3 linked regions of the Sus scrofa genome follow. The protein of the gene in region 3 interacts with the protein of the main gene of each other region in a pairwise test. Links are inferred from orthologs where the notes say so. Each region holds a gene or a part of one and is shown on either strand. Other genes may lie near its edges. The genes, in order: PRTFDC1, REL and FLAD1.

Region 1 (3,749 bases), on a different chromosome or scaffold from region 3:
GATGTTCTTGACTGTGCATTCATAAGGTTCCTGTTGTCATTCAAGTAAGTGCGTTTTTATTCATTGTGAACCTATTGGTTTTACATTATATTAACAGTCTAAGGAAAGAAGATGTATCTATCATTTCCCACAGTTCCCACCGTTGTTGCTTTTTGACTTCTATAGAGCAACTACACCTGTAACTTTGACATTTGTAACTTTTGTGTTCCTTAAGACCCAGTGTACACTCTGAGCTCTTATGGGTAAATGTGAATTTGCATCTTTAAGGCATGGTTGGCAACCTCTGCCTCATTCTCTTGGGTGCCTTAGCAGCACAGACTTCTGAGTCTGAACACACAGCTTCTCCACCAGAATGTGCGGAGTAGGGAAGTGGCTGGCTACCCAAGAGTCTTCTGAACCCTAAAGTTTGATCATCAGTTTTCAGTTCCTGGAACTCAGGTTGTGAAGATGCTTCCTGGGCTCAGTCTTTAGCAATGAAAATAGCAGATGGCCCCTCACCTGTGAGAAAAGAGATGAGTGAGACTATAGAAATTGCCCCAGACAAGGACATCTGACAGTTACTGAGAGAAAACGTTTACCTGTGCAAGAAACACTTTCACTCGGTTTATGGGAGCCAATCTGCAAGCACAGCGCCTAGTTTCAGCGATCCAAGGAGCTGCCCGCCTTTCCCGTGCTGTCACTTCCGACAGGGTAACGACAAACAGGGCTGAGCACAGCCACGTCTGGTTTTTGCAACCCAGGGCGACATTAACTGATTGATAACCATTTCCCCCTGGAATCAAGCAAATCAGCATTCCACTCCCTGCCTTGTGCCAGAACCCACAGATGAACAAAATAGAGGTCCGAGTCGGAGACCCGCCCTCAGCTCGGGGCTTCCCACCAGAGCAGAGCTGCAAAGGATGAGGCGAGCTTGCAGAAACCAGGCGATGAATACATATAAAGGGAAAGTAGGGCCCTTGAGGAATGGACAAAGAACCGGGACCCTCAGTCGGGGGAAGGCTGGGATCAGGGTTGAATTAACAAAAGATTCAAGGGAGGCTTTTTAATCGGCAGCTCTAAACTGCAGCCTGAGAAAATCAAAATTTGACCGTTTGTTCTTACAAAAGTGGTAAAGTAGATAATGAGTAAAAAATCTTTTTTTCGCCCTGAAAGCGGTAAAGGAAAGCCCCTATTTCCAAGTCCTAATCCTGTAACCGCGGGCGTGGTTCAGGGATGGGCCACCGCACGGCTCTTTCAAACCCCTGGCTGGGCAGTTCGAGGACTTAAAGAACACATCCTAGTTTCGCCCACAGCCGTACTTGGAGAATATCCCATACCGCAGACTCTTTCGTGGATGGACTTGGGATAAAGAGCGCCTACAAGTCAGCAGGAAGGATTCAAGGACCTCGTTAGCCTGAAAGCTGGGACGACAGACTTAGGGAGGCAGGGGACCTGGGCGCCGTTTCTGTTTCTGTAAAAGCCCAGCCGCGGGCAGCCTGGGTCTCCCGAGTCCCCGCGGGGCGCGGGACAGAAGGCGGGATGCGGAGCACGCAGGCGGGCGGTGGCCGCAGGGGAGACGCGCGGGCGCCGGGGCCAGCGCTCAGGTGGAGCGCGCGCCGCTCGGCAGCTGCGCCCCCGCCCCGGGCCCCGCATCCCCGCCCCGCGTTCGAGAACCGGCCCGAGTTGGCGGCGCCGGCCGAGGCGCTGGAGCCGCGCCAGGCGTGGGGTCGTCCGCGCGCCGTGGCTTTCCCGCCCGCGGTACCGAGGCGGGGCGGGGCGGCCACATCCCACCCCTCCCCCTCCCGGCCCGTCACCCTCCAGGCTTCTTCCCGCGCCTTCTTTCCTTCCCGCTTTCCCCGGAGAAACATGGCCGGGAGCAGTGAGGAGGCGCCAGACTACGGGCGAGGCGTGGTGGTAAATGCAAACTCCGATTTCGGGCCGAGTCGCGCGCTCCCCGCGCCTTCCCCTCCCCTCCCTTCCTGGCACCCCCCTCCCCCCGCCTTTTCGATTAAACGCCAGAAATGCATTCGGGAGAGGGCGGCCACGGCTTTGTTCTTCCCTCCGGCGGGATCGCTTCCATCCTCCAACCCACCCCCACCCCCACCCCCGAGCCCAATCTGACCCCACATTTAACATCCCTTCACCCCGTGTTGTCAGTGTTCTCTCCGCCTCCGCCAGGAATCCGCCAGCATTAAGCCTGTGTGGTGCCGGGTCCCCCTCCTGCTGGCCACAGGAATCACCTCTGGGGGCCGGGCAGGTCTGTGAAGACCCCCGCGGGCCGCTCTTGTGGGACTCCTCCTATTGTACTCCCCCCTGACTCTTCCAGTGTAGGCTTCACGTTTTGTTTCCAGAAAGGATACTGAGGATTCTCTAGGGCAGCTAGGAAATAAAGTAGCTCTAGTGGACGGAGTTTGAGCTTTGAAACCTGGGCTCAGACTCCTTTCTGTGGGTCCTCTGCACGAGCTCGAGCTCGGTCGGGACACGCTAGCGCCCCTGGAGCAAGCGCCAGTTTCTGCAAAAGGAAAGCACAGCACGCTGGGCCTGTGGGGCCAGCTGGAGAGGATGATTGTAGGGTGTCTAAAAGTGTGGCGGGTGAGAGGATGTAGGATGCTGGGGTCCCAGACCAGAGGCTCTTTATCCCTGGGAACTGCTCGTAGTCACTCATCACCCGGTGGGCAGCCATCTCTCAGTGTCCTGATTCCAGTCACGGCTTGCCCTGTGGCCCGCCGGCTTCTGCTCGGAAGAGAATGGTTTCAGTGGAAGGTGGTGGTTTTAATGTGTCAGGTTTAAAGTGAACCGGCGGTGAGGAGTGGTGGGTGGGGCTAACTTGCTACGTGAAGAGTCTTTGTTTTGAGATCAGCCTGTGATGAACAGATAATCTGTGGCTGGGACAGGACTAGAAGAGTAGGAAGTTTGGATTTGGAAAGCCCTCACTCTAACCGCCCTGTTCAGGTTGTACTATGTTGCCCAGTATTAATTTCATAGCCGGACCTTACCCTCCTAAAGGAGAAGGCATTCATTTATATAAGCATCCCACTAATGTTGACTGTCCTGCTGGGGTACAGGTAGTGTTCTAGGCTCAGGGGAAACAAGACATAGCCTTGTGTTCCTGAAGCTTACATTTTAGAGGGGAAGGCAGACAAGCAGTGTGAAAGCAAATAAATAAAGAAGATGCTTTCGGATGGTGATGTGTGCAATGAAAAGAAAAGAGATCATGAGATGAAGTGTGATCGCAGGAGGGCCGGGGATGCTGCTTTAGCTCAGACGGTGGGAGTGGCCTCTCTGGATGACAAGAGATGCTAGCTAAGCAGTAGGTAGCCATGTACAGACTCTGAAGAAGGGTTGTCCAAGCAATGCCTATCAAGTGCAAAGAAATCTTCACATTCTAAGAAATCATGGCATCCAGTTTATGCTTTTTTTTTTTTTTAAAGTCACTCCAGGTGCCATGGAGAGGATGGTTAGACCTAGGGATGGGGTGAGTTGGAGGGGGATGAAAATATAAAATGGGAAAATTAAGTTCAATTTAAGAGAAGCTGAGCCTATAGTGCCTGTAAAGCCTACGGTCAGGATGCACAGGAGGCAATTTGAAATTCCTATTTGAAATTCAGGAGGGCGATTGGATAGATTTGGAAATTGTCAATAAATAGAAAAATATCTGATGCTTGGCATTAGAGAGCGATGCCCAGTGAACATGGGGTGGAGCAAGGAAGTAAAACCATAGTTAAGGGTAGAAACCTGGAAAGCCCCCAGTGTAAGAAGCAGAGTGTCTG
Region 2 (3,649 bases), on a different chromosome or scaffold from region 3:
CTGTTCAGTGGGTTAAGGATCCGGCGTTGCCGTGAGCTGTGGTGTAGGTTGTAGATGTGGCTCAGACCCTTTGTTGCTGTGGCTGTGGTGTAAGGCCAGCGACTATAGCTCCAATTCGACCCCTAGTCTGGGAACCTCCATATGCTGCAGGTGCAGCCTTAAAAAGACTAAAATAAATAAATAAATAAAAAAGAGTATCTTTAATAAATTGCTCAGACTAAGAAAGAAAACTGCAGCATAAAATAAGTTTATGTTTGCTTTTAGTAACAATAAAGAAGTATACCTGCTACCATCATGGGCCACATCTACTAAAAAAGGAGGAAAGGGTAGTTCTTATAAATGATAAGAAAATTTAAATGTATACTATAGTAAATAGAAGGACAATGAGGAATCAGTTTATTCCGCTAGAAAATAACAGATGTACATGGGTAGGAAACAAGAGCATCCTATGTTTATCCTATTCCTGAAAATGTTTGTGACTGTGTACTTACCACAAAGGTCTGCGTTCTTGTCCAAATTCTGCTTCATAGTAGCCATCTCTGCAGTCTTTTCCTACTAAATCATGAGGATGTGGTTTATATGGGTCATTCTTTGTTACTAATGTAATTCTCACTTTTCCTTTTCCAAAATAGTTCTTAATCTGAAAAGGAGGGAAATCAGATATATGATCCATACATACATCTCATTAAGAACTGATCTACTAAATGAGGGTTCAATTTATATACATTAGTTAGCATTGGATAAATAAAAGTCCAAATGATTATCAAGTGCAGTTTGGAAGAAACTTTGCAGAGAATACCAGTAGAGAAGAATTTACCACTCAGTTTCTTGGCATATTATTCTGTGTCCTAATTTTAATCGGTCATATCACCTCATTCTGCTTATTTTCCTTCTTTTGGGGGAGGGGTCTTTTTTAGGCCTGCATCCATGGCACATGAAGTTCCCAGGCTAGGGGGTCACATCATAGCCATGGCCGCTGGCCTACACCATAGCCACAGCAATGCCAGTCTGAGTCGTGTCTGCGACCTACACCACAGCTCAGGGCAATGCCGGATCCTCAACCCACTGAGCGAGGCCAGGGATTGAACCCGCAACCTCATGGTTCCTAGTCAGATTCGTTTCTGCTGCGTCACAACAGGAACTCCACTAGTCAGGTTCTTTATCTGCTGAGCCGCAATAGGAACTCCCTTATTTTCCTTTTATTTTTTTAAATTAATTATTTATTTATTTATTTTGTCTTTTTGCTATTTTTCGGGCCACTCCCGCGGCATATGGAGGTTCCGAGGCTAGGGGTCTCATCGAAGCTGTAGCCGCCGGCCTATGCCAGAGCCACAGCAATGCGGGATCTGAGCTGTGTCTGCAACCTACACCACAGCTCACGGCAACGCCGGATCGTTAACCCACTGAGCAAGGGTAGGGATCGAACCCACAACCTCATGGTTCCTAGTCGGATTCATTAACCACTGCGCCACGACGGGAACTCCATTTTCCTTTTAAAACAAGTAAAATTATACCAAAATATTATCATGGAGCATGAGGAAATACTAAGATGTTGAGTCACTGAATGCAATGCTCTTATATTCACTGTCATACCATAAACATCCCTTGAATGTATATATTTAAGCCACAATGGAACACATTTAAGCCACCATTATGGTCAAGTATGGTTGTTACTTAATACATGACATTTCATTTCACAAAAATATCTTTTTTTTTTTTTAAATCAGAAAGTGTATCCCAAGTATTCACTGTACCATAGGCAACAAATTAGGCTGTTTTGCAAAATTAAGTTTTCACATAGTAAGTAGATCTATGACACTGAGAATGAAGAGTTAAACATGGGAGAGGAAGGAGGACTCTACACAATGTAGGGAGGAGTTTATCTTTATTCTGGAAGATGGAAAATTTGCAAGCACAAAGCAAGGAATATAAAAACCAGCAAACAAGGGAGCGAGGCAGCTGGGTAAGAATGGGTGGCTTCATAGATAAGTGGGCATTAAAATCTATAATTCTGAATTTAAACCTAATTTGAACAGTAATCAGAAAGTATTTATTGCCTTTCTGAATAAAAGACAAGGTAACGACTTAAAAGTGTAAGGTAGGCTCAAGTGGAACTCAAGCTGCAAAGTTGTTTAGAAACTACTGGAATGGTAAGGATAAAGATCTTAGAAATGGTTAAGAGAATGTACAGAATAAGCTGAATTATGGAGAAGAGTTAAAAATCACTCTTAAAGGAGTAGAAGATTAGCTTTTTTTTTTTTTTTTTTCCTAGAGCCACACATGAGGCATATGGAAGTTTCCAGGCTAGGGGTCTAATGAAATGTAGTATATAAACATAAAATATAAATGTAGTATTTCTATAAATATAGTACATTAACAAAGTCATTTTGGATCAAAAACTACTTTCAAAATTTATGTTAATATGAAAAAACTATATTTAAAAAGTGACAATATTTCAAATCAGTCAATGCAATCCAAAGTATCAGGGATAGGCAATAAACGTAAAGAGGAAAAAAGGCAAAAATGCTCTTTTTTCCATAGCCCCTAGATTAGCCAAGTGATTGCAGGAAGAATTCCGAATTTCCAAATACAGGTTTTTAATCTCCAGAACAATCTTGCTCACCACTGGAAGGAAAGAATGCTTTTTCCTCATTAGCTTTTTGTTCCATTAAAGGTGTTGTCATCCAAAAGTTGCCGATGTACTCTAAGCACTGGGAATCACTCTACACAGATTAACACTCAATATATAACAATCTGCAGGGATGAAGACTCTATACTTTATTTAAGAAATGTGCCTAGAGATCTATGCAGTATGGATCAATTACAAAGAAAAAAAGGAGGAAAAGCTGGTGACGATCACTGTGATGAAGCTGGGTCTTTAATGTAACTGCTGTAGTGAAAACATGATGCAGCTGACACACACACACACACACACACACACACACACACACACGCAGAGGAGAACGATCTGTTACCTGGATAGACGGGTATGTTCGGCTGCTGTCTGTGCTGTGCTCCCCTGGAATGCTGCCTGCTGATCGCCCTTCACATTTGTATCTAAAACGCATTCCCCTCTGTCTGGGTTGTTCCGTAATCTCTATATATGGGTTATACCCACCTAAAAATTTTAAAAGGGAGGAGGGTGAGATTATGATAGAATTAATAATGGATCTTTAACCATCTTGTTTTTTCCAAAAGAGTAGGCTAAAAATTTTCCCCTCTCAATATTAAATGACAAAGTTGAAATGTAATTATTCAAGACTGGGTGGATAATTTATTTGATTTTCTCTCTCATTCGAGTTCCCATACAGTGTAAACACAAGCCATTCAAATCATATTTACTGCTGAGCACTTTATCGTTTAATATCTCTAACTAATGCCAGTGTGAAGTTCTGCGATAACCACTTCAAATATCCACTTCTCACCTGAGACCAAGCAGAAGGGTTTTCCCCAGAATTTTCCCAGAAGGGTCAAGAAGACAGTCTTCAGAAGTGCAATATTATACTCCAAAAAAGACTTTGCCTGACTTTACATTAGATTTATCTTAACAGTGGACTAAAAGACTGTTCATTGAAAATGAAAATGTGGAGTTCCCATCGTGGCGCAGTGGAAACGAATCCGACTAGGAACCATGAGGGTGCGGGTTCGA
Region 3 (3,710 bases):
AGCTCACCTCCAGGATCTTGCTACCTCACAGGCAATGCTGCCAATTTTTTTGGTGTCCGTGCAACTTCCATCTGCTACAATATAAAATCCCCTCTGATATTAGCCCCTGACCCCTTAGAATGAGTCATCTGTTAATGAATAACAGATATGCATACAAGAATCTGAATACAGGAGTTCCCGTCGTGGCTCAGCAGTTAACGAACCCGACTAGCATCCATGAGGGCGCGGGCTTGGTCCCTGTCCTCGCTCAGTGGGTTAAGGATCTGGCGTTGCCGCGAGCTGTGGTATAGGTTGCAGACGCGGCTCGGATCTGGCGTTGCTGTGGCGTAAGCCGGCGTCTACAGCTCCAGTCGGACCCCCAGCCTAGGAACCTCCATATGCCGCAGGTGCGGCCCTAAAAAGACAGGCCCAAAAAAAAAAAAGAAATATGAACACAGAAAGGAGATTAGAGTCAAGCCTCCCTTTACTTCCACCACCAGACAGGAAACCCCAAAGCCCTTAAAGCACCTGCACCCCTCATCGCTCCTTTCACTCCAGAGACGCCCCAAATCCCGCCCCGAGGGAAAAGAAGCCCCGCCCCCGACTGAAGGCCAGCCCCCACGTTTCCGGGTAAGGGGTGACCACGTGGTTGTCACCAATAACAACCCAGCACTACTCCCGCCCACTGGCTACAGCTCTCGAGCGATGATCGACTACACCAATGGGCCCTTAGAAGTAGTCTGAGCGACAGCCAAAATGACCAATTAATACGAGGTAGGTATGAGTCTAAGGCGGGACTCTGAGTACGGAAGCTGCCCCGAAACAGGAGGAGAGAGGGAAAGACCCGGTGAAAGGGCAAGAGGCAGGTGAGAACCTGGAAAAGCTCAGTAGTCTGAAGCGTGGCGGGAAGAGACAGTATTCCGGGCTGGAAAGGGTGCGGAAGGCTGCAGAAGAAGGGGCTGAGTTCTGGTTGGGGGTGGAGGGAGGGAACGCATTTAAAGGGGCCAAGGCCCAGGCTAAGGTAGACATTTAAAGGAACAGGTGCGGTAAAGAGAAGAGACATTTATTTAAAGGCGCAGATGCGCAAGGTAGAGCGGACCCTAGAGGAGCCGAGTTCGGCGGGCAGAAGACATTTAAAGTGGTAGATGTTCTGGAGGGAACATTTTCAGGAGACTAGAACCGAGCCTAGAAAACATAAAAAGAGGTATGGGCTAGGGTTTGAGAGCAGGTTTATTAAAGGGGCCGGTGTAAAGGAGTCGATTGTCAAGGGCCTAATGAGGAAGACGGTGCACTCCTGCTCTCCCCTATTGTCCTTTCTGGCTCCTCCAGGTTCCCTCGACCCCGGAACCCCTGTTCCCAGGCTATGACCCCCAGTGCCCTGTAGATCTGGCGGGCCCCCAGTGCTTGCGACCCCTATTTTGGGGTCTGGGTGGCTACTGGAGGGCCTTGCGGAGGGGCAGAGAAGGCAGGACCATGGCATCTAGGGCCTCTGAACCTCCCCCAGGGCGCAGCGTGACGGCGGGCATCATCATTGTTGGAGATGAGATCCTCAAGGTGTGTCTGGGACAGAAGAGGGGGGAGGGTGCAGCGTTCTCCTAACACGTTCTGTTAAGGGAGGGTGAACCAGGGTGGGAGCCCCCCTTGCTACCGTAGGGTCCTGGAGTGAGTCCAGTATATTGCAGGAAGAGTGACCTTCATTTATTCAATTACTCTGCTGAAAAACTTGTAGCAAAGTCCCTATAATTAGCCATGCTGTGTGGGAGGGGAGGAGAGGCTTTAACAGCAATGATGAGGAGGAATTCCGGGTGTGGCACAACGGGGATAGGCGGCTGCTTCTCTGGAGCGCTGGGCCACAGGTTCCAGTCCTGGCTGGCATAGTGGGATACAGTGGGTTAAGGATCCAGAAGTGCCGCAGCTGGACCATAGGTCACAACTGCTGCTCAGATCTGATCCCTGGCCTGAGAACTCCATATGCAGTGGGGTGGTGGGAAAAAAAAAAATGACAAGGAGTCCCATGTATACAGGAGGTATTATTTCAGAGTTATAGCCAGCCTAACTGGAAAATGATCCGAGGCATTCAGCAGAGTAGCTAAGTGGGATGGAAGGAAAGTACCAGAAGGGAGAAATCCCTTCTGAATGATCAAGGAAGTCTCATGAGAGGTCACGGTGAGCATCAGGTTCACAGTAGTACTATTACGTGCTTACTAGGGCCTGGCAGCGTGCTTATTACATGGCCTGTGTGGTTTTACTGATCCTCACAACAACCCCATGACGTGGGTATTTTTACTGTCAATATCAATGAATAGATTATGAGAATAAGGCTCAGAGTTGAGAGACTCACCCATGTGGAACAGCAGCTAAAAAGTGGTAGATGGGATTCCAACCCGATTCTCACTCCAGAGTCACCCTTAACCGCTAAACTCTGTGGAGAAGTAGAAGGAGATGGAGCTGGAAAGGAAGAGTGCATACACACCATAGACAGGCGGCCTCGAATATTCTGCAGAGGTATTTGAACTTTATTCTGTACAGGGTTGGAAACAACAAATGGCTTTTGAGCCAAGAGTGATGCAATCACAGTGACACGTTAGGAAGGTTATTCGGGACGCATGGGGCAGGGCGCTGTGGCTGGAGGCCGGGAGCCTGGCCAGGGGTCTGTCGCCACTGTCCAGGTGAAAGGTGCCAAGGACCTGTTTGGTGGCAGGAGGGACAAGAGAAGAGAGCAGATGGAGAGACACATTTCAGAAGTAGAGTTGACAGCATGAAGGGGCTGACTGGCTGTGGACAGTATCTGGGGATGCCATTGACCAAGGTGACAACAGCCTGGGTTGGGGGAAGGATGCCCAGGAAGCACTTGGAACCAGGAGACCGAAACTGTCAGAGTTGCTGAGGAAGTGGAAGAGCTGTCCATGTACGATTGATGATTGAATCCAGAAGCATAGATGAGGTCAAGGTCAAAGGACAGAGATGGAAGCCCAAGGTGGTTCACATCATCCCTGACTCCACATGGATCTTGCCACTCTTGTGCCCAGTCAGGGCTGGTGTCCCCCCAAGAGCAGAGGGCCCCACCCCCAGGCACATGCAGCCTCCTTCCTTCCCCCTCTGCCCTTCATCCCCACAGCACTGACACACTCGTCTTCCCCACCCCCCATCTCCCAGGGACACACTCAGGACACCAACACCTACTTTCTGTGCCGGACGCTGCGCTCCCTGGGGGTCCAGGTGTGCCGAGTCTCCGTTGTGCCCGACGAGGTAGCCACCATTGCAGCTGAGGTCACGTCTTTCTCCAGCCGCTTCACCCACGTCCTCACAGCAGGGGGCATCGGCCCCACCCATGATGATGTGACCTTTGAGGCAGTAGCACAGGCCTTTGGGGACGAGCTCAAGCCCCACCCTGAGCTGGAAGCGGCCATCCGAGGCCTAGGAGGGGAAGGCTGGGAGAAGCTGTCGCGGGTGCCCTCCTCTGCCCGCCTGCATTATGGCACAGACCCTCGCACAGGCCGTCCCTTCAGGTTCCCACTGGTCTCTGTCCGAAACGTCTACCTCTTCCCCGGAATTCCGGAGCTGCTGCGGCGGGTGCTGGAGGGGCTCAAGGGACTGTTCCAAAACACGGCTGTTCAGTTCCACTTGCGGGAGCTGTATGTGGCAGCTGACGAGGCCTCGATTGCCCCCATCCTGGCTGAGGCCCAGGCCCACTTTGGGCGCAGGCTTGGCCTGGGTTCCTACCCTGACTG

What was found.
Region 1: the proteins of FLAD1 (region 3) and PRTFDC1 interact in binary tests that used the Homo sapiens proteins (3 or more experiments, as listed by UniProt). The two-hybrid records come from large-scale screens. The link is inferred for Sus scrofa from reciprocal best matches to the Homo sapiens genes FLAD1 and PRTFDC1.
Region 2: the proteins of FLAD1 (region 3) and REL interact in binary tests that used the Homo sapiens proteins (3 or more experiments, as listed by UniProt). The two-hybrid records come from large-scale screens. The link is inferred for Sus scrofa from reciprocal best matches to the Homo sapiens genes FLAD1 and REL.

What each region holds. Positions count from the first base shown.
Region 1 is NC_010452.4:50,364,268-50,368,016, forward strand, and holds the start of PRTFDC1 (phosphoribosyltransferase domain-containing protein 1), read left to right. Parts: upstream 1-1,386; 5' UTR 1,387-1,518; coding exon 1,519-1,893; intron 1,894-3,749. UniProt on the Homo sapiens protein: Has low, barely detectable phosphoribosyltransferase activity (in vitro). Binds GMP, IMP and alpha-D-5-phosphoribosyl 1-pyrophosphate (PRPP). Is not expected to contribute to purine metabolism or GMP salvage.
Region 2 is NC_010445.4:80,898,673-80,902,321, forward strand, and holds part of REL (proto-oncogene c-Rel), read right to left. Parts: intron 3,119-3,649; coding exon 2,976-3,118; intron 641-2,975; coding exon 492-640; intron 1-491. UniProt on the Homo sapiens protein: Proto-oncogene that may play a role in differentiation and lymphopoiesis.
Region 3 is NC_010446.5:94,810,478-94,814,187, reverse strand, and holds the start of FLAD1 (FAD synthase), read left to right. Parts: upstream 1-767; 5' UTR 768-845; exon of another isoform or gene 846-913; intron 914-1,308; 5' UTR 1,309-1,452; coding exon of another isoform or gene 1,453-1,533; 5' UTR 1,534-2,982; coding exon 2,983-3,710. UniProt on the Homo sapiens protein: Catalyzes the adenylation of flavin mononucleotide (FMN) to form flavin adenine dinucleotide (FAD) coenzyme.